7 linked regions of the Sus scrofa genome follow. Each later gene encodes a partner of the first gene's protein in a complex. Links are inferred from orthologs where the notes say so. Each region holds a gene or a part of one and is shown in the gene's direction. Other genes may lie near its edges.

What was found.
Region 2: NUP93 (region 1) and NUP107 share a complex: the UniProt entries of both Homo sapiens proteins name them as parts of the nuclear pore complex. The link is inferred for Sus scrofa from reciprocal best matches to the Homo sapiens genes NUP93 and NUP107.
Region 3: NUP93 (region 1) and NUP188 share a complex: the UniProt entries of both Homo sapiens proteins name them as parts of the nuclear pore complex. The link is inferred for Sus scrofa from reciprocal best matches to the Homo sapiens genes NUP93 and NUP188.
Region 4: NUP93 (region 1) and E3 SUMO-protein ligase RanBP2 share a complex: the UniProt entries of both Homo sapiens proteins name them as parts of the nuclear pore complex. The link is inferred for Sus scrofa from reciprocal best matches to the Homo sapiens genes NUP93 and RANBP2.
Region 5: NUP93 (region 1) and CETN2 share a complex: the UniProt entries of both Homo sapiens proteins name them as parts of the nuclear pore complex. The link is inferred for Sus scrofa from reciprocal best matches to the Homo sapiens genes NUP93 and CETN2.
Region 6: NUP93 (region 1) and NUP54 share a complex: the UniProt entries of both Homo sapiens proteins name them as parts of the p62 complex. The link is inferred for Sus scrofa from reciprocal best matches to the Homo sapiens genes NUP93 and NUP54.
Region 7: NUP93 (region 1) and NUP85 share a complex: the UniProt entries of both Homo sapiens proteins name them as parts of the nuclear pore complex. The link is inferred for Sus scrofa from reciprocal best matches to the Homo sapiens genes NUP93 and NUP85.

Annotation. Positions count from the first base shown.
Region 1 is NC_010448.4:18,805,238-18,809,737, forward strand, and holds part of NUP93 (nuclear pore complex protein Nup93), read left to right. Parts: intron 1-1,850; coding exon 1,851-1,940; intron 1,941-3,744; coding exon 3,745-3,884; intron 3,885-4,500. UniProt on the Homo sapiens protein: Plays a role in the nuclear pore complex (NPC) assembly and/or maintenance. May anchor nucleoporins, but not NUP153 and TPR, to the NPC. During renal development, regulates podocyte migration and proliferation through SMAD4 signaling.
Region 2 is NC_010447.5:33,030,633-33,035,132, forward strand, and holds part of NUP107 (nuclear pore complex protein Nup107), read left to right. Parts: intron 1-305; coding exon 306-344; intron 345-593; coding exon 594-744; intron 745-1,088; coding exon 1,089-1,201; intron 1,202-2,125; coding exon 2,126-2,228; intron 2,229-2,679; coding exon 2,680-2,840; intron 2,841-4,052; coding exon 4,053-4,178; intron 4,179-4,500. UniProt on the Homo sapiens protein: Plays a role in the nuclear pore complex (NPC) assembly and/or maintenance. Required for the assembly of peripheral proteins into the NPC. May anchor NUP62 to the NPC. Involved in nephrogenesis.
Region 3 is NC_010443.5:269,276,063-269,280,562, forward strand, and holds part of NUP188 (nucleoporin NUP188 homolog), read left to right. Parts: coding exon 1-17; intron 18-149; coding exon 150-269; intron 270-3,425; coding exon 3,426-3,637; intron 3,638-4,500. UniProt on the Homo sapiens protein: Component of the nuclear pore complex (NPC), a complex required for the trafficking across the nuclear envelope. Required for proper protein transport into the nucleus.
Region 4 is NC_010445.4:47,532,644-47,535,876, reverse strand, and holds part of E3 SUMO-protein ligase RanBP2, read left to right. Parts: intron 1-1,393; coding exon 1,394-1,539; intron 1,540-2,217; coding exon 2,218-2,491; intron 2,492-2,601; coding exon 2,602-2,936; intron 2,937-3,233. UniProt on the Homo sapiens protein: E3 SUMO-protein ligase which facilitates SUMO1 and SUMO2 conjugation by UBE2I. Involved in transport factor (Ran-GTP, karyopherin)-mediated protein import via the F-G repeat-containing domain which acts as a docking site for substrates.
Region 5 is NC_010461.5:123,902,793-123,907,807, reverse strand, and holds the start of CETN2 (centrin-2), read left to right. Parts: upstream 1-1,761; 5' UTR 1,762-1,815; coding exon 1,816-1,914; intron 1,915-2,819; coding exon 2,820-2,978; intron 2,979-3,233; coding exon 3,234-3,362; intron 3,363-4,399; coding exon 4,400-4,537; intron 4,538-4,956; coding exon 4,957-5,015. UniProt on the Homo sapiens protein: Plays a fundamental role in microtubule organizing center structure and function. Required for centriole duplication and correct spindle formation. Has a role in regulating cytokinesis and genome stability via cooperation with CALM1 and CCP110.
Region 6 is NC_010450.4:71,795,839-71,799,715, reverse strand, and holds the end of NUP54 (nucleoporin p54), read left to right. Parts: intron 1-1,952; coding exon 1,953-2,081; 3' UTR 2,082-2,798; downstream 2,799-3,877. UniProt on the Homo sapiens protein: Component of the nuclear pore complex, a complex required for the trafficking across the nuclear membrane.
Region 7 is NC_010454.4:6,076,055-6,080,554, reverse strand, and holds part of NUP85 (nuclear pore complex protein Nup85), read left to right. Parts: intron 1-1,457; exon of another isoform or gene 1,458-2,282; intron 2,283-2,336; exon of another isoform or gene 2,337-2,369; intron 2,370-2,454; coding exon 2,455-2,538; intron 2,539-2,688; coding exon 2,689-2,754; intron 2,755-2,961; coding exon 2,962-3,113; intron 3,114-3,878; coding exon 3,879-3,996; intron 3,997-4,104; coding exon 4,105-4,205; intron 4,206-4,500. UniProt on the Homo sapiens protein: Essential component of the nuclear pore complex (NPC) that seems to be required for NPC assembly and maintenance. As part of the NPC Nup107-160 subcomplex plays a role in RNA export and in tethering NUP96/Nup98 and NUP153 to the nucleus.

The DNA of each region.
Region 1 (4,500 bases):
TTGTTTGGAAAATTTCCCTGAATGTTCTTTATAAGCCTCTCTCCTTCAGCATACTGTTGCCACTTCTAACTCCAGGCATCTGAAGCCAGTTGCATTGGCCTCTCGCATACCAGTCCCCATCCTTCCAACTCCCTCATGTTTTATGACTGTGCCTTGATTTATTTACTTCTCCAATTTTTAAATCTCTTTGTTTCTCCCACATTTTAAAAAAATGTACTTTCAGATTTTTAAAAATTTCCCTTTCATTATATGGTTTACTTATTCCATTGCCACAGGCACCTCCAGAGTTTAGGCTTAATGAAATTATAAGCTTCTGAGGAGGGAGACTATGGTATCTTCTGTGTCTGTGAAGATGAAAGCTTTGTAAAACTAAAGACACTGTAATATCATGTATCTGTTTACTTGGCTGTCCCTTCCAGTGGAGAGTGGATGTTTATATCCCATATTGAACATAGTACCCAAGGGAAGGCCCCTTGTAGATGCTTGTTGAGCGGATAAACACCTTATGGTTTAAAAAACATTTTTTAGTAAGTTCCCGTGGGTTAGACCTGACATTGTTTCTGTGAGGATGTGGGTTCGATCCCTGGCCTCCCTCAGTGTGTTAAGCATCCGGCGTTGCTGCATGGTTGCCGCACACTGTGGTGCAGGTCGCAAATGTGGCTAGAATCTGGTGTTGCTGTGGCTGTGGTGTTGACTGGCAGTTGCAGCTCCAGTTCGACCCCTAGCCTGGGAACTTCCACATGCAGCAAGTGCAGCCATTAAAAAAAAGTAGAGGGAAGTAAGGTTTGATGGAGTCCTGATTTGTGTGACATCCCTACCTTGTTCAGACCTCGGTAGAACAAGCACTTCACATGCAAAGACTAGAACGTACTAGTTGTTACCATCATGATATTGGTTCTTTTAAAATAAAATGCAGAGTAATAATGGCTTTTCCATACTATAAACATCCTATATTCCTTTTTTTTTTTTTTGTCTTTTTGCCTTTTCTAGGGCCGCTCCTGTGGCATACGGAGGTTCCCAGGCTAAGGGTCTAATCGGAGCTGTACCTGCTGGCCTATGCCAGAGGAGCCACGACGCCACAGCCAACAGCGGGATGCGGGATCCGAGCCGCATCTGTGACCTACGCCACAGCTCATGGCAACACCAGATCCCTAACCCACTGAGTGAGTCCAGGGATCGAACCCGCAACCTCATGGTTCCTAGTCGGATTCATTAACCACTGAGCCACGATGGGAACTCCCTATATTCCTTTTTCTTGACAAGATTGTACTAGAGAACTGGGATTCTTTCCTAGAGAAACAGGTACCCCAAATATGCAGCAGCTGCTCTTCTAACACATGTGGAAGGCTCCGACCCTTCACTCCTTATTCATTCCACAAACCCTGGGCCTGGGGCCTTTCTTTCAGTCCTTTTGCCAGAAAGATTTACCAAACTTTGCCTCGGATTCATGGGAAGCAGTAGCAGGAGACCTTCCATCGTCCCATCTTCCCCCTTTGGTCCTTGCTCACTAGGACTGAGGGTGTACTGGGCAGAGCAGCACAGTCCTGCCGGTGGTACTCCTCCCCCGGCTCCACCCTCCTCCCATTCCTCGGTGTTAGGAAAACTTGGGTCACAGTTAACTTTGGTGTGTGTTCATGCTGTTGCTCAAAGCTCAGACACAGAACTGGAAGCCAGCCAGAGGCCTTACCCTCCAGGCAGTGAGGCTACCCAGCTACTCTGAGACAAGAAAGGTTGGCTAACGCTTCTGCTGACCATTGGGCAGAAAAGCTGGTTTCAGAACTGCTTCAAGGTATTCTAAAAAGAAGGGATGAAAATAAAATCTGTGGCATTTACTTTGCTTTTCATTTCAGATTTATATCTATAATGAGAAGATTGTAAATGGACACCTGCAGCCTAATCTCGTGGACCTCTGTGCCTCTGTCGCAGAGCTGGATGATAAGGTAGTGCCCAGAGCTGACCTGAGTAGACCCATGTGATCTGGTGTTCTGATGGGATTAGCGCTTGCCAACTTTGCAGAAATAATGCTAAGAGAGGCTCTGCGCCATGGAATAAGATGTTAACTGCTCTTCAAAGGTTTATTTTACTATTTTGGGATGGTTTTTGATGATGATGCTATACACACACACACACATATATTTATTTTTAGGGCTACAGGTACAGCATATGGAGGTTCCCAGGCTAGGGGTCGAATTGGAGCTATAGCTGCCAGCCTACACCACAGCTCACGGCAGCACCAGATCCTTAACCCGCCATGCAAGGCCAGAGATTGAACTTGCATCCTCATGGATACTAGTCGGGTTCGTAACCCCCTGAGCCACAATGGGAACTCCAAATTTATGTATTTTAAATGCATCTTTAATAGGCCCAGTGAGCCCCTTGAACTTGACTCAGGTGGGGTCTTTACAAGCATTATTCTTATGCCACTGTCTCCATTCTTCTCTGGCTCTTCATCTTTATTCCTGTCCCTCAGTTCTTATCCTTGGCCAATTTTCTCCCCCTAGGGGAGAAAATTTTTTTAAAGTGGATGAATAGATTGATAGGTGGCCAGGATGGGAAAAGGAGGGAAGGCTATAACAGAAGCAGGCACTCATACACACTTTTTTCTCTTTAAAAATTTATCCAACTTTTTTTTTTTTTTTTTTTTTTTTTTTTGTCTTCCATATGCCGCACCTGCGGCGTATGGAAGTTCCCAGGCTAGGCGTCAAATTGGAGCTATGTCTGCAGCTGCCAGCCTCACCACAGCAATGCCAGATCAAGCCGTATCTGCTACCTCTGCTGCAGCGTGCAGCAGCACTGCATCCTTAACCCACTGAGCCCCAATGGGAATTCCTAACTATTTTTTTTAAGTAGTAAAGTATAAGGCAATATAAACTGATCTAAAGGAGAAAGTAAGAATTTATCTACCATCTTACCACCTAGAAAGAGTCATTTAGGTGGATTTTCTACAGTTTTTTAATTTTTGAGAGAGACAATAAAAAGGGGGTTTTTTTTCTTTTCCTTTGGAAACAGTGTAAACATGCTTTTGTCTAATCGCCGCTGTCTTCCAAGGATTCTTCTTAACTTTGTAAGCAGAGGGTTCAGGGAACACGTTTCTAAGGAGAGGTTTATAGCCAGGAGGATTCTGGGAGAAGAGGGGGTCCAGCTGTGTGGTGCTAACACACAGGAGAGAACGCCCATGCCTTTCCTAGGCGGCCGCGTGGGAGGCGTCTTTTGAAAGGAGTGAGTAGGCAGAAAAATGGGAGGCCGTGACACTCACAAAATGGGATAGCAGCGGTGGCCCCTGGAGAGTCTCTGGGAGGACAAAACCTGTATTATGTAGGTTAAACTCTTATTTTAAGCCTTAAAAAACTCATATGACCTTGTAAGGACTGAAATGCAGCTACTTGAGTTTCAACTCCTAGATCTTTGGATGATTATAAATGTATTCACTCTTCTTAAGGGATAACCCACTGAGATTCAGTGTTTTTGTTACTTTTGTGTGGTCTTAATTATGTACGTGGGTATGTCAGACCTGGTATAGTAATTAATCTGAAAACCAACCCGCAAACAGGGGCTGCCAGTAGGAAGACGGGAGCCTAGTATCTGGCGGGGCAGAGGTGGGTCTTTTGTACTGGACCTGAGCCTGAGGGTCTCAGGACATTGACCAGTCCCCTCCACATCCTGCCTGCCTTTGAGTCAGAACACCTTGAAGAACCAGTTTCCCCACCCTGCAGCCATGTCACACGCGGTCTTGTTTATGTGCAGAACATCTCTGACATGTGGGCCATGGTAAAACAAATGACAGATGTGCTTTTGGCGCCGGCAACCGACGCCCTGAAGAGCCGTAACAGCGTGGAGGTGCGCATGGAGTTCGTCAGGCAGGCCTTGGGGTACCTGGAGCAGAGGTAAGGCGGCAGCAGCACAGAGGGGCCTTTACAATCCCCTGAAGTCAGCTGATCGCGTGTTTCAGGTAGTCCTCAAGCTAAGTGCTCTGTAGCTGGTATAATTTACAAGGTTGAGCAAGTCTGAGAGGTGTTATCCTGTTTTCAGAAACACTTCTCTACCAGAACTGTTTCTACACTGATATAAAATCAGGGTGAGTGGGAGCCCGGAACATGGCTAGGCTTTTCTTCTTCTCTCTCTGCTCTTTGTCCCTCAGTACAGAGACATGACTATTAGGCCATGATGCCTTGGGTCAGGATCCTGGTCCCTAATGTGATTCAACAATTCTCCTTAGGCTCTGTGTTTTCTCTCAGCGTTCTGATTTTCTCACCCAGCACTACCACCCTTAAACCTTAGGAAGGCCCTTTGATCCTTTATTTTCCACCCAGCTCTGCTCGGTTAATCTTTGTGAGTCCGGGTCCTTCCTGGCTGCTGACGCCTCTGCTTTGTGCCTGGGTTTCTTTGCCACCTCCTCCCTAGTTGGATTTGGCCACCGAGGTGTTTGTGGCTGTGCCCTTGTGCCCTAACCATTGTCTCTCTCACTGGTAGGGCCCCTGCCATTCAGCACTCCCTGTCGAC
Region 2 (4,500 bases), on another chromosome or scaffold:
GGTTCACATTCTTGCTCAGCAGCTTCTAGCTGTGTAATTCTGGGTAAATGAAACCTCCACAAGTCTTAGTTTCTTCCTCTGAAAAATGCAAATAATAGTGACTACCGACAAAGGGTCTGGTAAGGTTAAATCAGGCTTTTAACTTTGAATGTAAACCTCGCTAAGTACTTTACTTGACATATAGTTATTGCTCAATGGTAAATATTAAAAATCATTATAGCAGAATTTTTATTAGATGTATTTGTTGGTATATGTAAGCAATTGTGTTTATAATGGAATTATATCTTTCTTTTTTTCCTATGAAGGAAGAAGTTTCCATTGAGGTTTTAAAGACATACATACAGGTAAACTTCAGAATGATAATATTTTAATATCCAGTGGCAGGAAAGTCATCAGAATCCATAAGAGATCTTTTAATTATCATAAGTACTTTCTTTTGAAATTTAAAATTAATTGTGTTTAGCAGCACAAATCTGTGTCTGTATGACTCTCTAAAATACATATGAAATTTTGAAATGAACTTTTTAAAAAGCACTGCTGATCCTAGAACTTGTTTTATTTTTGACACACTTTGATCTCTTTCTGCTTTTTAGCTTTTAATAAATGAGAAGCATACAGATCTCATAGCATTTTATACCTGTCATTTGCCTCAAGACCTAGCTGTTGCCCAGTATGCACTATTTTTGGAAGGTGTTACAGAATTTGAACAGCGCCACCATTGCCTGGAGCTGGCTAAAGAAGCAGGTAAAAATGGTTGAGAACCTCATCTGTTGGGCTTTATAGACAAATTATCATTTGACTCTAGTGACATTTATCATTCTAGTTTTAAATCTTATTTCTCTTAAGAGAAAAAAAAAGGAATGAGTTTTTCAATAAAATTCTGTTTTAGCAATGAAATAACTTCTACTGTCACTGAAGTATAACATGTCTTTTAATTTTGGAATTTCATAATGCCAGAATGTCTTTCGTTTTACATGTGACATTTTTAAAGAATTGTTATCCCAAATTTACCAAATCATTGTAACCATTTAGAGAATAATGTGTGAACAATTAATTCTTGATTTTTGTCTCCTCAAAAAATTCTTTAGATTTGGATATTGCAACTATAACAAAAACTGTAGTTGAGAATACTCGAAAGAAAGATAATGGTGAATTCAGTCATCATGACCTGGCCCCAGCCCTAGATACTGGCACTACAGAGGTAATACGCGGGGAAGGGAGTGTGTGGTGTTTTGTTTTTTTTTTGTTTGTTTTTTTTTGTCTTTTTGCCATTTTCTTGGGCCATTCCTGCGGCATATGGAGGTTCCCAGGCTAGGGGTCGAATCGGAGCTGTAGCCACCAGCCTGCACCAGAGCCACAGCAACAGGGGATCTGAGCCACGTCTGCAACCTACACCACAGCTCACGGCAACGCCGGATCCTTAACCCACTGAGCGAGTTCCAGGGATCGAACCCGCAACCTCATGGTTCCTAATCAGATTCGTTAACCACTGAGCCATGACGGGAACTCTGGGGGTATGTGTTCTATATCCTGCAATAATCCCTCATGTTATTCCTTTGTCAACTTCTACCCTTAAAATGCTCTGGCTTCTTTCTTTTTTGAAGAATTTTGCTGTGTCAGCCAAGTTGTAAAAATTGGCAGCAAGCTTAAGAGCATATGTAAGGAATTGCTTAGTAGTAGTAGTATGTTAAAGGAAGTTTCTTTAATAGAAAATAGCTGAGCATTAGATTTTTGCTCATCAGACTTTTCTAGATACTTGAATGCATCCCTAACTTTTATGTAGCTTACTTTATTCCTATTTTCAGAAAATAATAGAAAGTTTTATTTCAGAAAGAAAAAAAATTTAGAGTAGCACCTAAAGAAATCACATGGTTAAGTTGGTGGTGCATTGAATATATAATTACAGATTCACAGTCCAATAAGTTTTTTCTGTAATTTGATAGGCTGCTATTAAATGTAAAAATAAAAATAAATGTGAAAATAAGAAAAGCTATATTCTTCATAATTTTATGTAACTTGAGGGAAAATATTCACTAGAAGTGAGCATATAAGTTATTTCTACTAATTTGCAAGATACCTTAGAAAAAACAAAGTTGACATTTCTTTTTTCCAATTAAATGAATAGGAGGACCGTTTAAAAATTGATGTAATTGACTGGTTGGTATTTGACCCAGCACAGAGAGCGGAAGCACTAAAACAAGGCAATGCGATAATGAGGAAATTCTTAGGTATGCTGTATTTGTGTATATATATATTTTTTTTTTTCAAGTTTTTGTTTTGTTCTTGAACTTTGTTTTCTGTTTTAGGGTAAAGTACAAAACAGCCACTCATATATTAAACTTGGTACTATGAAACAAAACATATTTAATAGTGAATTTTCATGTCCTATTCAGTTTTGCCTCTAAAACCTCAAGGCTTTGAAAATGGAATTAATTTTTTTTTAAGATACAGAATAGTATGTAAAAGTAACTACAATTAATGAATCTTTTTGTGATGGTTGCATCGAAATAAGGAAAAAGCCCAGCCATTCAGTAGAAAGATCACTCAGATCTTTAACCGAGGTACCTCGGGACCTGGAGTGGTTACAGGTCACTGTGAAAGTTGCAAACCAATGATTTGACTCCGTTAGAAACCATTTAACAGAAATCCATATATATTGGCGAATCGTCTTTTTCATAGCATCAAAAAAACACGAAGCTGCAAAAGAAGTATTCGTGAAAATTCCTCAGGATTCAATAGCAGAAATCTATAATCAATGGGAGGAACAAGGAATGGAGAGCCCACTTCCTGCTGAAGATGATAACGCCATCCGAGAACATTTGTGCATTAGAGCTTACTTGGTGAGATTGTAAAGAAAAACTGCACAGTGCCTTTACCTTGACTGTTCTTATTCATTCTCAGACTCTGAACTGTTTTTCCAGAAGTGGCGATTTTTTTTTGTTTTTTAAGGCTGCACCTGCAGTATATGGAAGTTCCTGGGCTAGGGGTTGAATTGGAGCTGTAGCTTTGGCCTACACCACAGTCACAGCAATGCCAGATCCAAGCACCACTTCGGCGACCTACACAACAACTCACAGCAGCACCATATCCTTAACCCACTGAACGAGGCCAGGGATCGAACTCGCATCCTCATGGATACTAGTTGGGTTCATTACCGATGAGCCACAGGGGGAGCTCCCAGAAGTGGCAATTAACTCATTTTCTTATCTCCCACTGTGGGATTGACTCATCCACAAGGACTTTGAAATCATGACCTGGTCTTCATTTATAGGAGTCCCTAATCAGTGCTAACCAACCAAGACATCTCACATGGTAGATAGTGTGTGTGATGTCTGAAGTAGATGTTTTCTTTTTACTTTTTTTTTTTTTTTTTTTTTTGTCTTTAGGGCCACACTCACGGCATATGGAGGTTCCCAGGCCAGGCAGGGGTCAAATTGGAGCTATAGACGCTGACCTATGCCACAGCCACAGCCACATCAGATCCGAGCCATCTGCAACCTATACCACAGCTCAAGGCAACACGGGATCCTTAACCCACTGAGCGAGGCCAGGGATCAGACCTGCTTCCTCATGAATACTAATCAGATTCGTTTCGTCTGAGCCATGACGGGAACTCCTGGATGTTTTCTTAAGATTCTTTGGATGCTTATCTCAACTTTAACAGTTCTGCTTTTGGCAATAACAGAAAAGTAAAATATTCTATATTATGACTACGTAACATACTATGAGTTTGAATAACAACATACTCATTCAAAATTCATTCAACAAACAATGAGGTGATCATATTGACTAGGGTCTAGGACTAAGTCTGGATGGCTTTCTGTCCTTGCCCTCTAGAAGTTAACAGGCTCCTCAAGAAGACAGCAAGTAAACATGTGGACATCACAAACAAAACAATTATTCACCATGGTTTTTTGCATAAAAAAAGAAATATTAAACGATTTTATTTCTTGGTGCTGCAAAATTATTTCTAGGACCTGTTTTTTAAAAGCTTTGTTTTAAACATATGTGAAAAGTTTTCTTTTTTTGTATTTTTCTATTTTGCATTTTAGGAAGCCCATGAAACCTTTAATGAGTGGTTTAAGCATATGAATTCAGCTCCACAAAAACCTACTTTGATACCTCAAGCAACTTTTACTGAGAAAGTGGCTCATGAACACAAAGAAAAGAAATACGAAGTAAGTTGAATGGAGATGAGACATGTCTATTGCATCTCAAAAATACATGTTATGTATTTAAAGAGATCAGTTCTTTAGTAGTTATATTCCTATTGTAATCGATGATCTTCCTTTTTTACTGTTCTACTTTGAAAAAAAGCCATCTGTTTACTTACTTTTCTGTCGATAATTAACCAAACATGAAACATACCTTCAGGTGACACAAGTGTTCATTTACATGATTAACGTTTTGAGTGTTTTATTTAACTGCAGTCTGTTGGTGTTTATTTTTGTATTTAGCTTACTGAATGTCAACTCTTTAGAATGATGTTCCATATGTATG
Region 3 (4,500 bases), on another chromosome or scaffold:
AAAGACACCCCTATAGGGTAAGCCCATTTAGTCCTCTTGGTTCTCTTTTAAAATTTAATCCTTTTAATAATTTATTCATATTTATATTCATATAAATATTTACCTTTTATTCCAGGTATAAGTTATGTTTTGTTTTGTTTTTTAATAAGGTTGAATATGCAGACTGTGTTGATAAATTGGAAAAAGAGCTAGTTACAAAATATAGACAGCAGTTTGAAGAGCTTTATAAAACCGAAGCACCAACATGGGAGACACATGGAAACCTCATGGTATGTGGTTATTGGGGATTTGTACATCCTTGCTCATAGGACTCTAAGTTAAATTATTTATTCACTTATTAATTAAAGCATTTATAGGTTATCATTCTTTAGAAAAGTTTAAACATGTGTGAATAAAAATACTGACTTTAACTAATGGTCTTTTATTTGGACCATTCCCCTTGACTTTGTTAATCCAGTTGATCAACTTTTTGTTCCTGCTTAAAATAGTCTCTTAGTGGTTAATGGAATTCTTAAACCAAGATCTCATCTTTTTTTTTTTTTTTTTTTGGGCCACACATGTGGTATATGGAAGTTACCAGGTTAGGGGTCGAATTGGAGCTGCAGCTGCTGGCCTGTGCCACAGCCACAGCAAGCTGGGATCTGAGCCATCTTCAGGCTACACTCCAGCTCACAGAGGCAGCAGATCCTTAACCCACTGAGCAAGGCCAGTGATTGAACCCGCATTCTCTTGGATACCAGTCAGGTTCTTAACCCACTAAGCCGCAACAGGGACGCCTCATTTTCTTTTTTACCATTATCTGTTAAGTGTGTGACAGTAGTCTAATTTTTGTATCCTTAATCTTAAACCAGTTTGCATTTATAGATTGGAACATGACCTTTTTAAAAAATGTTCGTAGAAGAAAAGGATCTACTTAAAATACAACAAAAGCATACATTTCTTAGGAATAAACTCAGGACTATCCAAAATCTAAATGAAGGGAACTTTAAAATGTTAAACGGGTATAAAAAGAAGTCATAACCAAATGGAAAGACGTGCCACGTGCCAATCACGAATGTAAAAGACTCAGCACCGTGAAAGTGTCAGTACTGCTTATTTTAACCTATAAAATAGTGATATTTTAGTGTGATCCTCGGAAAATGTTAATAAGTAATTGCTTTTTATTATGGAACTATGCAAAGCTGGTTCTAAAATTCATTTGAAAATAAGTAAGAATAGCCAGGAAATTTTTGAGAAAGGAAAATTAGATAATAAGGCTACAGTATGTTAAAGCATGGCCTTGCTGCATGAAGAGACTGATGAATAGTACCTGGTAGAAAGGGTGGTGTTGCCCAAATGCTGATAGCGGATTGGTGGATGATAAAGGTGGCGTTTTGAATCAGTCAGGAGATGTTGGGCCAGTCAGTAAATGGTGCTGGAACTGCTGGGTAGCCCTCTGGGGAACAGTTAAAGTGTATCTCTATCTCATTTCTTCTGTCCGAAGAAAATCACAAGAGATAACAGTGATTTAAATTTTAAAAATTCAACTATAAAAGTACTAGAAGAAACATGAGAGGTGGTCTTGATTTTATTTTTTTTGGCATGGAGAAGAGTTTTTGAAGTAAAACTTAGAAGCCATAAAGGGGAAAGAAATGAAAAACCCACCAACATGATATTGAAAATACTGGTGTTCCCATTGTGGTTCAGCGGGTTAAGAACCCGACATAGTGTCCATGAGGATATGGGTTCGGTCCCTGGCCTTGCTCAGTGGGCCTTGCTCAGTGGCCACAGCACAGTATAGGTCACAGATGCATCTCGGATCCATGTTGCCCTGGCTATGGAGTAGGCTGCAGCTGCAGCTCCACTTGAACCCCCAGCCCAGGAAATTCCATCTGCCACAAGTGCAGCTGTAAAAATAAAATTAAATTGAATTTAAAAAAAATCAAAAACAGGAGTTCCCATCGTGGCACAGTGGTTAACAAATTCAACTAGGAACCATGAGGTTGCGGGTTTGATCCCTGGCCTTGCTCAGTGGGTTAAGGATCCGGCGTTGCCATGAGCTGTGGTGTAGGTTGCACATGCGGTTTGGGTCCCGCATTGCTGTGGCTCTGGCGTAGGCTGGCGGCTACAGCTCCGATTCAACCCCTAGCCTGGGAACTTCCATATGTTGGGGGAGCACCCCAAGAAATGGCAAAAAGACAAAAAAAAAAAAAATTACAAGACAGAAGACCAAAAATAGTGCTATAAACAAAGTCAAAATACACAGTTGAAGTTTCTGTTGTGGCTCAGGATTTTGAACCCAACTAGTATCCATGAGGATACAGGTTCAATCCCTGGCCTCACTCAGTGGGTTAAGGATCCGGTGTTGCCATGAGCTGTGATGTAGGTTGCAGAACCGGCTTGGATCCTGTGTTGCTGTGGCTGTGGTGTAGGCCGGGTGCCACAGCTCTGATTTGATCCCTATTCTGGGAACTTCATATGCTTCACGTGTGGTGCTAATAAAAGAAAAAAAAAAAAAAAAAAGACAAACTGGTAGCACAATGGGTTCTTAAAATAGAAAGAGCTCTTGTAAATCAATAAGCAAAACCCAACAGAAAAACAGGCAAATGCGATGAACACATTCACATGACAGCATGCAAGGGGTAAGATAATAGACATATTTTGCTCTATGAATTTTTTTTTTTTTTTTACTTTTTAGGGCTGCATCTGCACATGTGGACGTTCCCAGGCTAAGGGTAGATTTGAGCTGCAGCTGCTGACCTATGCTGCAGCTTGCAGCCATGCCAGATCCTTTACCCACTGAGCGAGGCCAGGGATCGAACCTGCATCCTCATGGATACTAGTTGGGTTCTTAACTTGCTGAGCCACAACAGGAGCTCCGAATTCACATATATTTTTTAATGTAAAACATTATGACAGTATTTAAAAATTGAAAAGCACATAATTTCTTGACATAGTAGTTCCGCTTAAGAGTTTATCCTCTAAACGCATTCACACTCACATTAAGTGACCTGTGTTATTAACAGATCTGTAGCGTCCCCTAGGTTTGTTCAGGTACAGTTTACATCCAGTAAAAGGCATTCATTTTAAGTGTACAGTCTGCCTTTTGGCAGTTGTGTGTAGTTACATGCAGTCACCACTGCACAGTCACTACAGAGAACACTTCTCTCTACCCAGCAAGTCTGCAGTCAGTTTGTGACCTCGGCCCCCATCAACCACTAGTCTGAATGAATGAATGTGTATGGCATATTATCGGAAGGAAAGACAAAAACCTCTAACAGTGCTTGCCTCTGGGTAGAGATTCGAATGACTGAGCCATAGGAATTGTAAGGATACTTTTTTTACCTTAGTTTTGTGCGTGTGTTACCTCATTAACAAGAATACATTTAAATGTGTTTTAAAACTTGACTTTATTTCTCTCCCATTTTTCTTCATTGGTTGTGCAGACCGAGCGCCAGGTGTCTCGCTGGTTTGTTCAGTGCCTTCGGGAACAGTCCATGCTGCTAGAAATTATTTTCCTTTATTATGCGTACTTTGAGATGGCACCTAGTGACCTATTGGTATTAACCAAGATGTTTAAAGAGCAAGGATTTGGTAGTAGGCAGACTAACAGGCACCTGGTGGATGAGTCCATGGATCCTTTTGTGGATCGGATTGGGTAAGTCTGAGTGAATGGTCTTAGAACCCGTGCTGCTTTTGTACTACAGAGCACTGATGTGGTGGCGGTCCCCTGAATGGGTGAGGGGAGGGGGAAGCAAATGGGTGGGCTGCCACGTTCTAGGCCACACAGGGAGCAGAGACGAGGATTGAGAGGGACATCTTTTCCCCAGTAAGAACTGCATTCTGTTCTTTTACTTGCTGTTTTCATCTAAGGGATTCATTTTTTCACTCTACCACAAACATCTCTCGAGCAGCTTTTGTCGACCAGGCACTGTACAGATGCTAAGAAAGCAGTCATAAATAAGGCAGGTGTGTTCGCTGCCCTCTTTTGATTCATGGTCTGTGGATCTTGAATTGTGTGGCAGTGGAGATAGCCACATTTGGGGCCTGTTTCCTCTGTGAACGAGGATGCACACTTGACCAGTGAGACAGTTTGTCTGGGTTAGATGTAGCTGTTGCTGTAGAAACCTTCGGTACTGGATCTCACTTTGGTACACACCTGCCACACAAGACCACCAAGTATTTAAAATGTGGCTTGGAGTTCCTGTTGTGGTGAAGCGGAAATGAATCCGACTAGTAACCACGAGGTAGCAGGTTTGATCCCTGGCCTTGTTCAGTGTGTGAAGGATCCAGCGTTGCCGTGAGCTGTGGTGTAGGTCACAGACGTGGCTCGGATCTGGCGTTGCTGTGGCTGTGATGTAGTCTGGCAGCTGGAGCTCTGATTTGACCCCTAGCCCGGGAACTTCCATATGCCGTGGGTACGGCCCTAAAAAGCAAAAAAATAAAATAAAAAGTGTGGCTTGTCAAATTGAGATGGGCTGAAAGTGTAAAAAACATTCCGGATTTAGATGGGTTAGTGTG
Region 4 (3,233 bases), on another chromosome or scaffold:
TTAGGGAATTTTGAGATTTTTCTGCCATACCTTTTGGTATTGGGGGTAATTTTTAAAAATGAAAACATTTTTCTGTTCGAGAGTTCCTGAACCCAGTTATTTTTATTATTTATTTATTTTTGTCTCTTCAGGACCACACCTGAGGCATATGGAGGTTCCCAGCTAGGGGTAGAATCAGAACTGCACATGTTGGTTTATACCACAGCTATAACAGTGCCGGACCCAAGCCGTGTGTGCGAACTACACCACAGCTCATGACAATGAGAATCCTTATTACACTGATTGAGGCCAGGGATCGAACCTGCGTCCTCGTGGATACTAGTTGGATTCACTTCCCCTGAGCCACTACGGGAACTCCAAACCCAGTTATTTTTAAGCCCCATCCTGTGGCTGCTGTTCTTAAGGGAAACTCCCACATAACCTGAGCTCGTGCTTTTCTCTTTTCAGAACATTCTTTTGCCGGACCTTCTTAAGAATTTTTTTTCTTTTTTTCTCTTTTTTTCCCCTCCTTATTAAACCTGGCTTGGGAGTTACTGTTTGAATCTGTCATTTTGTTCTTTCTTCAAGGTGCTGAGTTTTTAACTGCTCAGTGACAGTTTTGCCTTCTCTCGAGTTTTTAGCATCAGCTGCATGTTTCTCTAAGGCAGTGTGGTGGCTCAGCCATTGATGAAAAGCTGAGAGGTGTATTTCCTCTCAGAGTGTGGGCAGTGGATTAGCAGGTTGGGTCACCTTCACTTGAGATGGGGATGGGGGAGCTTGGTTTTCACCCTCTCCAGGGTGTGAGGGAGAGTAAAAGTCTTTATTCCTCATGTGGCGATGATGGGGAGCCTTTTCTCCTCAAGGGCTGGAGTCGGTGAGCTTCTCCCAAGGCTGCCAGTACCACCTGGCCAGGCAGTCTGAGCTCCAGCTCTAGTTCCCTGAGGAAGAAGTTGAAGTGGAGAAGTTACACACATGGGCCTAGTCCACTTTGGCTCATTTGAAAGTAGCAGATTTGGCCTCTTTGAGAACATTTCTAGGTTCAAGAGTTATTGTTTTCATGTGATAGACTGTTTTATGAAATAATCTACCCCTGGAGGCTGAACCAGGTGTTCACAGTTTCACGGTGTGTACTTTGAGTTCATTACTGAAAGTCCTTGTGGTGTTTAATATTGTGAAGGTGACCTAAGGCTCAGAGGACCCCGTGCTGCCCGTCCAGGCAGACGTTCCTGGCCGTGCCGTGCCGTGTGCTCGCCACCTGAGTTTAACCTGCCAGAAGAATACACTTTCACACGTTGTTACTAGAAGCATGTCACATCGTCGGCAGTTAGATTCATGGATAAAGTAATCTAATAGGGGGATCAAAAGCTTACTGAAACGGACTCGGACTGTTTAAATATGCTACTTTGTCCGTCAGATAAGAATTTCCAGTGGGCAAATACTGGAGCAGCTGTGTTCAGAGCACAGTCGACCAGCAGAGGTGGCGAAGACGAAGATGGCAGTGACGAAGAGGTGGTTCACAATGAAGACATCCACTTTGAACCAATAGTGTCATTACCAGAGGTGAATATTAAGCAATGAAAGCTGTACTAGTAATTTCACGTTTGACGTTTAAAACTTGATTTGTAGGGCTGGCCTTGTTTTGCATTGTTTCAGAACACTGCCCACCTCAAATGGAAGTTCTATATTAGAAGTTCAGCCTTTAAGCTTAAATTGTCTCTTTGAAAAAATTTATATATAAACATAATATTGGTAACATTTTATCCTATATGAAATTGTAGGGAAGAACTTACTTGTTTTGTCTGTTTTCATAACATAATTCTAGGGGCAAAAACAAAAACAAAAAAACTAATCTTAGATTTGCCACAGTCCCTTCATTAAAAAGTAACTTTTGTTTTCTTTTTAACAAGAATGTTGTTTTTGGTTAGTTACTTTTATAAATTTCAACTTCAATCAGTAGATAATATTTCTCTTGAAGAATAAGCATGTTTTGAAATATCCTCTCTCCTGCAAAATACTGTATTAATTTCTAAAAGGAGGAAGAATGCTGTGTAAGAGGAAAATATTTCATGACAAATCAGGTCTTTCCTGCCTCATTCAAATCGCATGCATTTGTAGCCCTAAGGTGTTAACTGTTTTCAAATTCTGTTCCTGTCAGTATCTAAAGGAATGTGAATCTTTGGAATTTGTTGTGGGATGTTTTATAAGCAGCAGCTTATAGTTTGTCATCTCTTATCTTAGGTAGAAGTAAAATCTGGAGAAGAAGATGAAGAAGTTTTATTTAAAGAGCGAGCCAAACTTTACAGGTGGGATCGAGAGGTCAGTCAGTGGAAGGAGCGTGGGGTCGGAGACATAAAGATCCTCTGGCACACGATGAAGAGTTACTATCGGATCCTCATGCGCAGGGACCAGGTCTTTAAAGTGTGTGCAAATCATGTCATCACCAAAACCATGGAATTGAAACCCTTGAATGTCTCCAACAATGCTTTAGTTTGGACTGCCTCAGACTATGCTGGTGAGCTCTGCACTCAGACTTTCCCACAATTGAGAACAAATACATAGAACAATGTGTATAACACTTAGCGCAACACTAAGACCACTGTTTTGTTTGTTGTTGTTTGATAGATGGAGAAGCCAAAGTGGAACAGCTTGCAGTGAGATTTAAAACTAAAGAAATGGCTGATTGTTTTAAGAAAACCTTTGAAGAATGTCAACAGAATTTGTTGAAACATCAGAAAGGACAAACATCACTAACAGCAGAGTTATCAAAGGAGACAAATCCTGTGGTGTTTTTTGATGTTTGTGCAGATGATCAACCTCTAGGACGCATAACCATGGAATTATTTTCAAACGTTGTTCCTCAGACCGCTGAGAACTTCAGAGCACTGTGCACTGGAGAGAAGGGCTTCGGTTACAAGCACTCCATCTTCCACAGAGTGATCCCAGATTTTGTTTGCCAAGTAAGTCTTCAGTGCACCTCACAGTGGGGGTCTAGAAAGGGACAGCACACCTACCTGGGCAACTTGAGTGTTTCTCAGTTTTTCCAGACTTCCTTCCCTTTTCCACACAGCAGTTGGTGTCCCTACCCCAGCTTCTGTCCCAGCAGAACATTCAGTCTAAAAGGGTTCATATTTCTAAATGCCTTGAACCTGCCAGAAATTGAGGTGGGAAAAGATCTCTTCCATTTTTATCCTCCTTCATAAATGCACGGTGCTCAGTTTTCAAACTAACAAAGCTTAGGTTCGCAGCGAAGCTGG
Region 5 (5,015 bases), on another chromosome or scaffold:
GTGGACTAGATAGGGGAGAAGCGGGGAACAGGGGGGCTACTCACCAGTTGTTCAACCAAGATTTAGTGAGGACCTAATATGTACCCTTCACTGATCAAGGTCCTGGAATGCCAGCAGTGAACAAAACAAAGATGCCTGCACCCATATGGCTTCCCTTCTAGTGGATGGGCAAAGAAGAACAAAATAAATAAGGATACAGTTATAAGTACTAGGGGATAAAAACAGAGAAAGGTGTAGGGTTTGGGTGTTCTGGGAGATGCAGGGCTAAATAGGATGCTTAGGGTGGCTCACTGAGAAGGTGACAGTGGAGCAAAGACCTGGAAGAAGGAAACAAGTAGAACAAACAGGCAGAAGAGATGGTTGGAACAAAAGTTTGAAGGCAGGAGTGTGTCCGTGCATTTGAGTCCATCAAGGAAGCTAGTGTCCTGGGGCTGGAGCAGCCAGGGGAGAGGAGGAAGCATGTTGGGATGGGCCTTGCAGAGCATGGTGAGAGCTCTGGCTTGTACCCACAGGGGGGCTGCTGCTGAAGGCGTGAAGTGGGACAGGAGCAACAGAGGTGGAAAAGAGAAAAGAAACACCCTTTAAGGAGGAAGCTGACAGAAAGTGGAGGCTAGTTAGTGGGGCCAGGGCAGGAAGAGTCAAATAGGACCAAAAGGTTTTGGACTCGGCTTGTGCTCAAAGAGGAAGAGGGTAAAGGGCAGAAGTTCGGCAAACATTTTCGCTTAATGAATGTCAATAAATCTCAGGCTTTCTTCAGCCTGAGAAACTTATGCTCTGTCCCCTGCTTCCCAAAATGCTGTGCCAATGCCCAGAGGTGAAGCAGGTAAGGGCTGAGAGGCAAGAAGTGCCCTTACACTGGGCTGGCTAAGGAAGGCAGACCTTGGACTTCCAGGGCCACTGTTCCAGCTCCCTTTCATCTGTTACCGTGGCACACGCCCCCTTGTAATTCTCTGAGCAAGCCTCACCTTTCCAAAACGGCTCTGTGACTTTGCTCATGAAGTGTCCCCACCTGGAATACTCCTCACTATCCGCCTTGAGTGTTTGGTTGTCAAAATGAGTATATTTTGATGATCTGTCCCCTTTATGCTCACTCAAATCTCCTTCACTCCCTTCAAAGGCCGTTCCTAGGCCCCCAGCTCATCTTCCCGAGCTGCTTTTAGCCAGGTGAGAACTAAAGTGATCCTATCTTGTTATCTATTTGGGGTGGGACGGACACGCCCAAAGAAAGAGCCTCAGGTGGATGAATTCAGCTTCTAAGTCCCAGACGTCCGAATTTCTGTGATAACGCCCGGCCTCTGCCTTTCCTTCTCCGTCTCAGTTGCCCCGTAAATACATCCTCTGCTCCAACACGCAAGGTCACGGTCTTCTCTGGCCCCTCTGACCCTAACTCAGTCTTAGTCCAGACCAGAAAGTCCCCGACCGGGTGAGGGCTTGTTACCTTTTCGAGCCCCGCGAAAGGCCCCACCCAATTCCTTGCCTTTCCAGTCCTATCGCCAACCCAAGAGCGAGGTCGCAACCCTTACCTGTTGGTAGGTGCCTCCCTGGCCGGCCTCAGCGCATCGGTAGCCTACAGCCTCAGAGCTCCAGGCGCCAGCAACCACCTGTTTCTCCCCACCCTTATGAGGCTACTATCAGCCGAGGCGCCTCCACCAAAGGGATTGGTGCTGGCTCGGCCAATCAGCGCTCGCGGTGTAATCCTGCCCAATAAGGCCAGGCCGCGCCACAATGCCCTGCGCCCTGCGTCAGGCCTCCGTCGGGTTAGTCCCACCCACTCCAGCACTGTGCCAATGGGGAGCTGCAGTCATCTGTCCTCCAATGGGGTGCAAGGCCGCGCGCAGGGGGCGGTGGGAAGGGCGCCGAGTCGGTGTGTACGTCCGTTGCCGTAACAACGGGAAGCGGAGTCCATCGGCGATGGTGAGTGCTTGTTACCCTTTCGAACCCTGTGTCCAGAAGCTGAGCCCTTCACAGGCCTTGGCCTGGCCCCGCCGTCTCTCCTGCGCGGTTCTCGGCTTTGGCGCACTCTTTCCTCTGAGCGCTTCCCGGAAGGGTAGGGTAGAGATCCTGGCCGCCCTGCTGGGCCTGCGATTAGCCGCTGCGTCCCATTCAAGCCACAGCTGGCCCCTATCCGTCCTTCGGGCTCCCCTGGCTCCTTCGGTGACCACCTCTGGTCAAAACAGACTCGGGCTCTTCGCACACCCCGACCACTTCCAGACTCTGGCCTCCTGGCCGCCTCTACCAAAGTTTCTACCCAGAGCCTAGGGGAAGTTTATTGTGTTTGATTGTTAATGTGCATTTAAAATGTTAAATATTGGGACTTCGGAAACGCTTTGACCTTCTTGGGGAAGGCTCAGATGTGCCGAGGGGATTGAGTTTTATTATTCGATATTGACAGAATATACATCTTAACTTAGTATTTGGCCAAATTAGAAGTAATCAGAAAATCTTATAACTTAGAGCGAAGCAGAATAGCGTTCTAAGGACATTTTTAGATTTAGGGTCCCAAATTCAGAGAGAGCTGATTATCTGTACATTTATCCAGAGTCAGCTCCTTGGCCAGCTCTCTTTTTAGATGATTTCAAATAAGAGATATCCAAAAGAACAAAGGATCTCCTTCTAGAAACAGTAGTAAAGAAGAGGGAGGGATAGAGGTGCAGAGAAAGAGTATTTGCTCTTTTCACTAAACGCTGTTATTTCTCCTGTTAGTTTTGGAATTCGTTGGTATAAACTATTTTAAAAGTAGATAGGATTGTAACATATTTATGTAAAATATGTACCCTATTACATAATACCGTGCTTCTCTGTTTGTGAAACATATAAAGGCCTCTAACTTTAAGAAGACAAACGTGGCATCTGCTGCCCAGCGAAAAAGGATGAGCCCTAAACCAGAGCTTACTGAAGAGCAGAAACAGGAAATCCGAGAAGCTTTTGATCTCTTTGATGCTGATGGAACTGGGACAATAGATGTTAAAGAACTTAAGGCAAGCCCTGTACATTCCTGCTCTGCTGCCTTGACTTTTCTCTGCCTCTTTCTCTTCTGTGCTGTTTTTCTGTCTTTATTTACCTCAAGTATTATTAAACAAAATTGAGTGCAAATATCAATTTGCTTAATGTTATAGTGTTTCCTAATTATTTTAACATGATTGTGTCAGATACTGGCTTAATGCTCTCAATGCTGTCATTTTTTGCCCCTGGGTTTAGATGTACATATTGAGATGATCCTGTTTTCATTGCAGGTGGCAATGAGGGCACTGGGCTTTGAACCCAAGAAAGAAGAGATCAAGAAAATGATAAGTGAAATCGATAAGGAAGGGACAGGAAAAATGAACTTCAGTGACTTTTTAACTGTGATGACTCAGAAAATGGTAGGTTAGCTAAGATGATGGGTGTATTTTCCACCAATAATGGTGGACAGATTTGAGTCTAGATATGAAAGTGTCTTTTCACCCATTGGTCCCTTTCTCTTTCATTGGCCTCCTGGCTCCTCCTCAGTGTGGCTCATGTACATTCTACTGGCCCGTGGAAAAGTAGCTCCATCAGTGCTTCAGCTGTGCTTCCCAAGGCACAGGTCTCTTCCCACTCTAATAATCCTGTTGCTTTGAAATCATCTAATCACACCCATATTTTTCTTCAGGGACTAAGTTAAGAGTTCAGGAAGCTTTTCCTCTTTTCCTCTGTCAGAGTACCTGGGATTCTAGTAACTCTTGGTGCTCTCATAAGTGAAATCGCCTTCTCTTTCCTCCCTGCTCCCCTCTGCCCCCAAGAGGATCCCAGCTTAAGCAGTGGAATTTCCTCTAAACTTAATCCCATCATCTGCTGCTGTATTTTATTTATTTATTTATTTTTTTGTCTTTTGTTGTTGTTGTTGTTGTTGTTGCTATTTCTTGGGCCGCTCCCGCGGCATATGGAGGTTCCCAGGCTAGGGGTTGAATCGGAGCTGTAGCCACCGGCCTACACCAGAGCCACAGCAACGTGGCATCCGAGCCGCGTCTGCAACCTACACCACAGCTCACGGCAACGCCGGATCGTTAACCCACTGAGCAAGGGCAGGGACCGAACCCGCAACCTCATGGTTCCTAGTCGGATTCGTTAACCACTGCGCCACGACGGGAACTCCTGCTGCTGTATTTTAAAAAGCAGTCTACTTTTCTCTTCCATTTGTATAGAAAATGTTTTAAGTGCAAGCCTTTATATTTCCTTCTTAGCCTCTGGGATTGTACCAATTTCATGTTTGTCCCCTCTCTCTACGCTGGTTGATTTTTGATCTTCTGTGACCTAGCACCAATGTCATGAGGCCATGTGGTGCTGTTGTGGCAGGGCAGAGGGGATGGTGCTAGGGTTGTGGGACACAGGTAATTATGAGTCTCTTTACTCATGTGTTTTTTATGTTCTACTTGTTAAGTCTGAGAAGGATACCAAAGAAGAAATCCTGAAAGCTTTCAAGCTCTTCGATGACGATGAAACTGGGAAGATATCGTTCAAGAATCTAAAACGCGTGGCCAAGGAGTTGGGCGAGAACCTCACTGACGAGGAGCTGCAGGTGTGTGATGTGTCAGCCTGGAGCCCTGTGTGGCTTTTCCGTGTTATGTTTTCTCTAATGCTTTGGAGGAAAACTAGCATTCTCTTGTCCCTCTAGTGACCATTTAATTTCTTTTTCAATAGTGTGGCAAACGTATGGGCGCTGCTGCCTCACGGATAGTTTTACTTACTATTTTAGGTTTTAGGCGTCTCCCTGGTCAAGATGATCTTCGAGCTCAGGTGATACATGTGTGGCAAAGGATGGCTGGGTTTTCAAATAACTTTTCGGGAGGCAAGCTATTATAAGAAGCAGCATCTTGTAGTGTGTGTGTGTGTGCGGGGGACTACAATTGTCTATTCAGGTAGCATTATAAAAGCCTATTATTTAGTCACATTTTTGTTTCATTTATGAATTCATCTAACTTGACTCCTGTTGTGCAGGAAATGATTGATGAAGCTGATCGCGATGGGGACGGAGAAGTCAATGAGCAAGAGTTCCT
Region 6 (3,877 bases), on another chromosome or scaffold:
CAACTCGGATCCTGCGTTGCTGTCCGTGGTGCAGGCCGGCAGCTGTAGATTCGATTGGACCCCTAGCGTGGGAACCTCCATATGCCTTGGGGGCGGCCCTAAAAAGCACACACACACACACACACACACACACACACACACACGCGCGCGCGCGCGCAAAAGGAATGCAGAATCTATCCTCACTCCAGACCTTCTTAATCAAATTTTTCAAGATCACAGTGATTTGTATGCACATTGGAGTTTGAGAAATAATTTCCTTCTATCCCATCTTTCCCACTTATACGATGCCACATACAAATTATAACTACATAGAGTTACTGATCTTGTCAGCCCTCGGGGACCTGGGTGGAGGCTAGGGTAGGCAAAACCTGCAGCTGCTTGTCTAAAATTCACTTTCTATGGAAAAGCGAGTAAGTACTTTTCTAGCATGTTTTCATTGGTATAAATCTATACACTGGTTTAGTAAATGCTGTCCAGCCATCACCTGTGTCTAAAAAAATATATTAAGATGGTAAACTTTGTGGAATTTGTTAGGTGCCACTAATTGGCATGGCTGGTTGGCATGGCCCTGAGGATTTTAGGTGGCTATAGATGTCATCAACAAATCTGATTTTATTACGTTTCTTAGAATGAATATTCCCATTTTATGCAGCTAAAAACTAGTTGGCTCCTGGGTTCTTTAAAAGTATGCGTACATTCGATTATATTCCATTGTAAATATTTACAGTAGGAGCTCCCCTCATGGTGCAGTGGAGACGAATCCGACAAGGAACCATGAGGCTGCAGTTTCAATCCCTGATCTTGCTCACGATCTGGCGTTGCTGTGAGCTCTGGTGTAGACCACAGAAGTAGCTTGGATCCTGCATTGCTGTGGCTGTGGTGTAGGCTGGAAGCTACAGCTGATTCAACCCCAAGCCTGGGAACCTCCATATACCATGCGCATGGCCCTAAAAAACAGCAAAAAAAGGTTATTTACAGTAAAATAGATTCCAGCACACTGGAGTCAAGAACTATATGAAAGTGTTTATGTATGCAGTAAAACTGGGAATAATATAAACACCTACCTAAAATGACGAAAAGCAGTATATTGTTTTGGGTTGAATCATGGCTCATCACTTAGTTTATGACCTTGAGCAGGTTACCTGTTTCTCAGTTTATCTGTAGAGAAGAGGTAATGATGGTACCCACCCCCCCAAAGGGTGCGTGCTCAAAGGGATTTTATTTCGTTTGTCTTCTTAGGGCCGCACCTGCGGCATATGGAGGTTCCCAGGCTAGAGGTCCAATCGGAACTACAGCTGCCGGCCTGCACCACTGCCACAGCAACGTGGGATCCCAGCCGCATCTGCGACCTACACCACAGCTCACAGCAACGCCAGATCCTTAACCCACCGAGCGAGGCCAGGGTTTGAACCTGTGTCTCCTTGGGTACTAGTTGGGTTCATTAATCACTGAGCCGTGACGAACTCTGCAAAGGGATTTTAAATAAGTTTGTTAATGCCCATGAAGCTCTTACAGCTGCCTTAACATCTGGGAAGGATGCTTCAAAATATTAGCAGTTGGTAGTTATCACTGTTATCATCGCTTTGTACTTCAAAACATGGAAATCCTCAGTTTTCAGGACGATTATTCTGTTCGTCATCCACATTTGAGTATCTTCCTACATTGTTTTAACGTATCTTTTTTAGTCAGAGGTTGGTAAAAGGAATCTAATAAACATCTGTCTTTTGTAAAATTTCTGTTGCATATATTGTTCATTATATATTTTATTGCTTTTCACCATAGTATTTTACTGTAGGTCATATAAAAGTCTTAGCAAATGATACAGTGCAAATGTCTAAATATGCGTATTTTTAGGGCAGATACTAAGTGCTGTATTGTTAGTGAAATAGTGAAAACTAATTTTTTCCTCTGAGTAGCCTGGAGTGATATGTTACTATTTCAATTTCTTTTAGCATTTGAAACAACAACAGGAAGGCCTTAGCCACTTGATTAGCATCATAAAAGATGACCTAGAAGATATCAAGTTGGTAGAACACGGATTGAATGAAACCCTCCACATCAGAAGTGGTGTCTTCAGTTGACAGTTCACAAACTCATGTTTAAGGTTTGTGACGTACATCTTCTTGTTATACACCAAGCTTTCCTTAAGAATGAAACTGACCACATGGAGGGGGGGAAAAAACCAATCCTCTCTCCTGGCTTGGTTTTTGAGAAGGTTACTGGTAAATTATTAATCATCGAATCTGAAATGAGTCATTTAACTGCTCTTCAGAGATAGCCTTTGAAAGATTTACATCTAAAAGCTGTAATTACTTTAAGAGAATATGTAATTACAAAAAATATGTACTATTGTACATTTTTACAGCAGCATCATTCAAAACAATCAGTGTTTAATGATTATTCTCCATTGAGCCTGAACTCTGCTTTCCGTGGCAAGTAAATATGAAATATCAACTTTGCACATAACAAAATAAACTGTATAATCATTTGGCTGTTGGAGATTTGTACTTCAAAATGTAAATGTACATCAGTTTTTATATTTGTGAATTCATCTGTGGGAAGAGGAGCAAAGAAAAATCTAAGTATTTAATGATTAATGTGGTTTTCTTTTCATTCTATAAAGATTTGAAAATATATTTTTATATTATTTTACTTATTTGGAATTTACAGAACACACCTAAGCAATTAGGATATAACAAAGTTATGTTTTATCATTTTTCAACTTTTTTGTTTTTTAAACTTTTTTATTTCTAAAAAAGATAAACATGAATAAATTGTTGATTGTAATTACTTTTTATATAATTCTGTCTGGTGCTTTATTTGGCTCTTGGAGAATGACCATTCATGTCCACACAAGTACTAAATCATAATCACAACTCAGTTTCATCCTGGTTTTAAGTCTGACTTTTCCCTCCTAGGAAAATGTATCAACACTGATATATTTTGATGAGGGTGTAGCAAATAAAAATTCCTTCAGGAGTCATCTAGGATACAGAATTCTCTAATATGTTGTATCTGAGAACACTGGAAAATCTGAATAGACCTGATGATGTGCAACAGTGATTTTTTAACTAGATAATTTTAAGAGTTTTTCTGACTGCAGACTGCACACTTGGGCTGCATCATGTCTGCCCCTCTTAAGGATGCATTAAAAGTTAAAGCATTAAACTTAATGCTTTAACTTGACATTTCTGGGTAATGCTTTGGCTTATGATGTTTATCGTAAGAAACAGCCTGAGGAACCTTGCCACCGTGTTGCCTGTGAAGATAGTGAGGAGTGTGACGCACTGTATGTCCAGCCAGAGCCATCCTCTTGGGTCCCACTGAAGGACTTTCTGTCTAGATGCAGACCAGGTAACAGTTTTGTAGGAAACAAACTTTACAGCTCATTCTCTCTTTCCATGACAGCTGCTAGAAGTGTGCAGCCACTTTTGCAAGTTTACGTCAGGCAAACTTGTTATATACTCCTCTCTGTACCACCCTTTCATCATACCTTCCTACTCATTGCTGCAATTCCAACAGTGGTGGGAGGAATTTTTTTCTCTCCGTTTGCTCCTTGGCCCAGAAGATAAGCACTTCCATTCTTCTCATCCACGTAGTGCATGTGGAAGGAGTGTGTTCCCCTGCATGCCATCTTATCATAGCAAGAGTTGTTGATCTAACAGATGAGAATTGTTACTCATTGAGCCACATTCTCTGTTGGGCAGCTGGCTAATCAACGCACATTGTGCTCACTTCTCTAGCCTTTTGTTTTTTTGTGCTCTGATATTATATTATCAGGTTTCTGATTTCACCAGCCCTAGACAGGGCTCAGGGCTTTTCAAAGACAGGCCCAGATTAAGTTTTGATCCTGCTGCTGACTATGTGTGTAAGGCAA
Region 7 (4,500 bases), on another chromosome or scaffold:
ACCGCTGGCTGTTTCCCTGTTCCGGGAGCGCTCGTCTTCCGATAGCACATTCCTCATCCGCAGCCCTTTGCTCCAACAACCCTCTGGACTAGTTTTCTGTATGAACTTACTCTAGGAAGGGTGGGGATGTGTGTGATTTTACCTGTGAAGAGGCAGCTTGTCTTACATCTTGTCAGTTGATGCTTTCTCACCTTATATGCTGTTTTATTCTTAGGACTGGTAATTGCTGATTTTGTCCATTATGTTTGAATTTTTCATAACTTCAGTCCCTAAGATACTGTCAGAATCTTAAAGTCCTGTACTGACCGTTATAATTCTTCCACTTTGACAATGAAGCTGTGGTTGAAGGAAATGAACTGGGCAGTCCTTGAGTAGCAGGTCTGTTTTTTTTTTTTTTTTTTTTTTTTAGGGCTGCAGGTGCAGCATATAGAAGTTCCCAGGCTAGGGGTTGAATTGGAGCTGCCGGCCTAGGCCACAACACAGGATCCGAGCCACCACAGCTCATGGCCAACGCCATATTCCTAAGCCACTGAGTGAGGGCAGGGATCAAACCCGCGTCCTCATGGCTAGTTGGGTTTGTTACCGCTGAGCCACAATAGGAACTCCTGCAGGACTGGATTTGAACCAATTTGCAGTGCTTTCCCTTGGACACAGCTATGCTTTTAACATGTATATAGAAAATAGAATTTTCAAAAATAATATATTTCTTTTGTTTTTGTTAGGGACATACCCATAGCATATGGAAGTTCCCAGGCTAGGGGTCAAATCAGAGCTGCAGCCGCCAGCCTGTGCCACAGCCACAGCAACAACAGATCTGAGCCGTGTGTGCAGCCTACATCGAAGCAAGGCCAGATCCTTTTAAGCCACTGAGTGAGGCCAGGGATCGAACACACATCCTTAGGGATACTGGTTGGGTTCTTAACCTCCTGAGTCACAGCAGGAACTCCCCCAAAATAATCTTTTAAGAGCAGTTTATAGTTTACCACTTGTATATATTTATATCTTACCACATATTTCTCTTGAAAACAATCCAGGTAAGCCAAGAGGTAAAATTACTTCCATTTATAGATGAAAGGGACACAGAGGTAAGTGACTGAAAGGACAGTCTCGAGATCCAGTCATATGATACCTTTTCCATTAAATCACCTCCTGACTGATGAAATAATATTTTCAGCTGTTAAACTGTTGCTACATCAAGGAGGTGTGATGAAATTATAATGGTTAACAGCAACATTATCCAGTGAGTTGGGGTTTGGTTGGGGGGCTGTCATAAGGAGATATATTTATTGGGACTCTTGTCTAAAAAGGACACAATCAAGGAATGCAGCAGGAGTTCCCACTGTGGTTCAGCAGTAATGAATCCGACTAGTATCCTTGAGGATGTGGGTTCCATCCCTGGCCCCACTCAGTGGCTTAAGGATCCAGTATTATCGTGAGCTGTGGTGTAGGTTGCAGACGAGGCTCAGAACCCATTCTGCTGTGGCTATGGCATAGGCCGGCAACTGCAGCTCTGATTTGACCCCTGGCCTGCGAGCTGCCGTATGCCACAGGTGTGGCCATAAAAAAAAAAAGAAAAAGTTGAGCTGTATTTGATATATGAGAGAATTTTAGGAAGGCCGTCATGACATTCCACAATGAATTCTGGAGCAGGTGAAGTATCATAGTACTTCTATCTTTAAGATCAAGGCAAAAGTTTTAAACATTGAAAGCTTCCTTTCCCTCTCCCAAGATGGGAATGATAGTCAAACATTTATATACAGATACAGAAAGGCCAGTGCCAAGTAACAAATGAAAAATATAACTCAAAATGATGTATGCACACTTGACGACAGTAAATGCATTGGTAAGCTTCACACAAAATGATGCCAGAGAGTTTACAAATAGTGATGGAAAAACTTCATCAGACCCTTAGCGGGCCCTAGAAAATGTCATTTTTAACAAGGGCCGCCCATGATTCTAGGTTTTGATTAAGAAAGAGTTTTTAAAGTGACATGTCTGTAGTTGTATTCATAAAGCATGCTAATGAAAACTGCAATGAGGAGAAATGTTAATAGCAAATGCAATGCAAACAGAGCTATTCCTTTGAGTTCCATGTTTCATCGAAACTCAAAAGCCACTAGTCTTTCGGTCTTTTTCTTGTACATTATTCTGCATCTTCGTCCTCTATATCTAATTGGATCCCTGGATTTTATTTCATTTTCTGTGTGATATTCTTCACTGACAGGTATCATCGGTTCTTGTTTTGAGGGTTGAATGTCTTCCTCCGTGTCCACTGTTAGTCCCTACCTAGCATGCAGCGACCTCTCTGAGCTTGCAGGCAGATTCCAGCTTGTTGCTGTCCCTCCCGTCCTAAACCCATAAGAGGCCATGCGGGATTCCTGCTTATGCTCCACTCGTGTGGGCCGTGGCCTCTCATCCTGACTTTGCCCCTTACCTTGGTGTTTGAACTTGTAGCATTGCCCTCAGCAACTGGTGGTTTGTGGCCCACCTGACAGACCTGCTGGATCACTGCAAACTCCTCCAGTCTCACAACCTCTAGTAAGTATGCTGGGGCCAACACTCTTCTCGCTGCCACCCAGACCCTTGGGTGTGGGGGTACCCGAATGCCTGGAAGGGAGGTTGGGCTGTCACAGGGGGCCCTGGATAGAGCAGCCCAGGAGTTTGGTCTCATGTTACGTTTTATTCCAGCTTCGGGTCCAACATGAGAGAGTTCCTCCTGCTGGAATATGCCTCAGGCCTGTTTGCCCATCACAGGTATGCTGGCAGTGGGTGCTCCTCAGCATGTGGCTGCCGGGGGTCGGGGCAGGGGGGCGGGGAGGGGGCTTGGACTCTGTTCTCTCCTGTCTGGTTCCCCGAAGGCTGCAGGGTTTGGAGCAGAAGCTGCCTTGAGTGCGCATTCCCAAGCCCCAGGGCAGCGTCTGGGCTTGCCAGGCCCTCATGTCTGTCCTTGGACCTGTGCAGCCTGTGGCAGCTGGGGGTGGATTACTTTGACCACTGCCCTGAGCTGGGCCGAGTTTCGTTGGAGCTGCATATCGAGCGGATCCCGCTGAGCACGGAGCAGAAAGCCCTCAAGGTGCTGCGGGTTTGCGAGCAGCGGCAGATGACGGAGCAAGGTGAGTGGCTTCTCTGCCCGGCGTACCTCTGTGCTCATGCCGTGCTGCCCGGACTGAAGAGCGTCTGGGCAGCAGGTGCCAGGAGGTAAACGAAAACCCAGCACACTACTGGGGAGGGACAGAGAGCTAGGGGTCCGATGGGAAGTAGTGGAGGACGTTGCCTTTATAAAGGTTCTGAGTCACTTCTTCTCTCATGCTTTCACCAGAGGTCAGACGGGAGCAGCTGTGGGTTGTCCTGTCCCAGTGGGTGGCTCTGGCTAAGGCTGGCTGGGTAGGGAAGTGGGACTGGAGCTGGCTCAGGAAGAGCCGGGGTGGCGGGGGGAGCGAGGATGGTTGCTCCTTCTCTTCCCCTTGCTGCGGAGTGACTGGTAGAAACCTAAGCTGCCTTCCTGGAGGAGGCACTGCATGTTCATGACTCTCTGTGAAAGCACATGGCATTCAGGACCCAGAAGAGGAGAGGGCTTGGAGTACCTGGACAGATCAAGGAGGCGCTGATCTGTGGGGAGCAGGACACATCTTTGTGCCACCCCTGAAATGAAGCCCCCTCGCAAAGCCAGTCCTTCCAGGGTGGGTCCTACTGTTAACAAAGCCAATTAGAGAATTTATGAACCCTCGAGTTCCTAGTTCTGCTGGCCAAGCTGTACGTGGAGAGCCCATAGAGAAGCCTAGTTCAGGAGGTGGGAAGGCCGCTCCTGTCCCAGTGGGGTTCAGGAATGGAGCGACTGACAGGGTGAGAGGTGTGCCTTTTCTCTTTTCCCTGCAAAGTTCGCAGCATTTGTAAGATCTTAGCCATGAAAGCTGTCCGCAACAATCGCCTGGGCTCCGCCCTCTCTTGGAGCATTCGAGCCAAAGATGCTGCCTTTGCCACGCTGGTGTCAGACAGGTAGGCTCAACCGGTGTGCCCTCCCTGGGTGCTGTCTGGCAAGGTGGGAGGCTGAGGAGGTGAGCCCGGGACTGCTGCTCTCATCTCCAGGCCGGGCCTTCCTTGCAGGTTCCTCAGGGATTACTGTGAGCGAGGCTGCTTTTCCGACCTCGATCTCATTGACAACCTGGGGCCAGCCATGATGCTCAGTGATCGACTGACGTTCCTGGGTGAGTCTGGCCTCTGGCCCCTGGACCTTCAGCACAAGTGGGCCGTTACAGAGATTGGAGGGATGGTTCTAGACTTCTCCAGGCCAAAACACATAGACCCGTGTGCCAGTCTCTGCAAAGCACATATTTTTGTGTTGTTTGTCTTTATAGGGCCGTACCCACAGCATATGGAGGTTCCCAGGCTCGGGGTCAAATCAGAGCTGTAGCTGCCGGCCTACACCACAGCAACACCAGATCCGAGCCATGTCTGTGACCTACACCACAGCTCAGGGCAACGCCAGATCCTTAACCCACT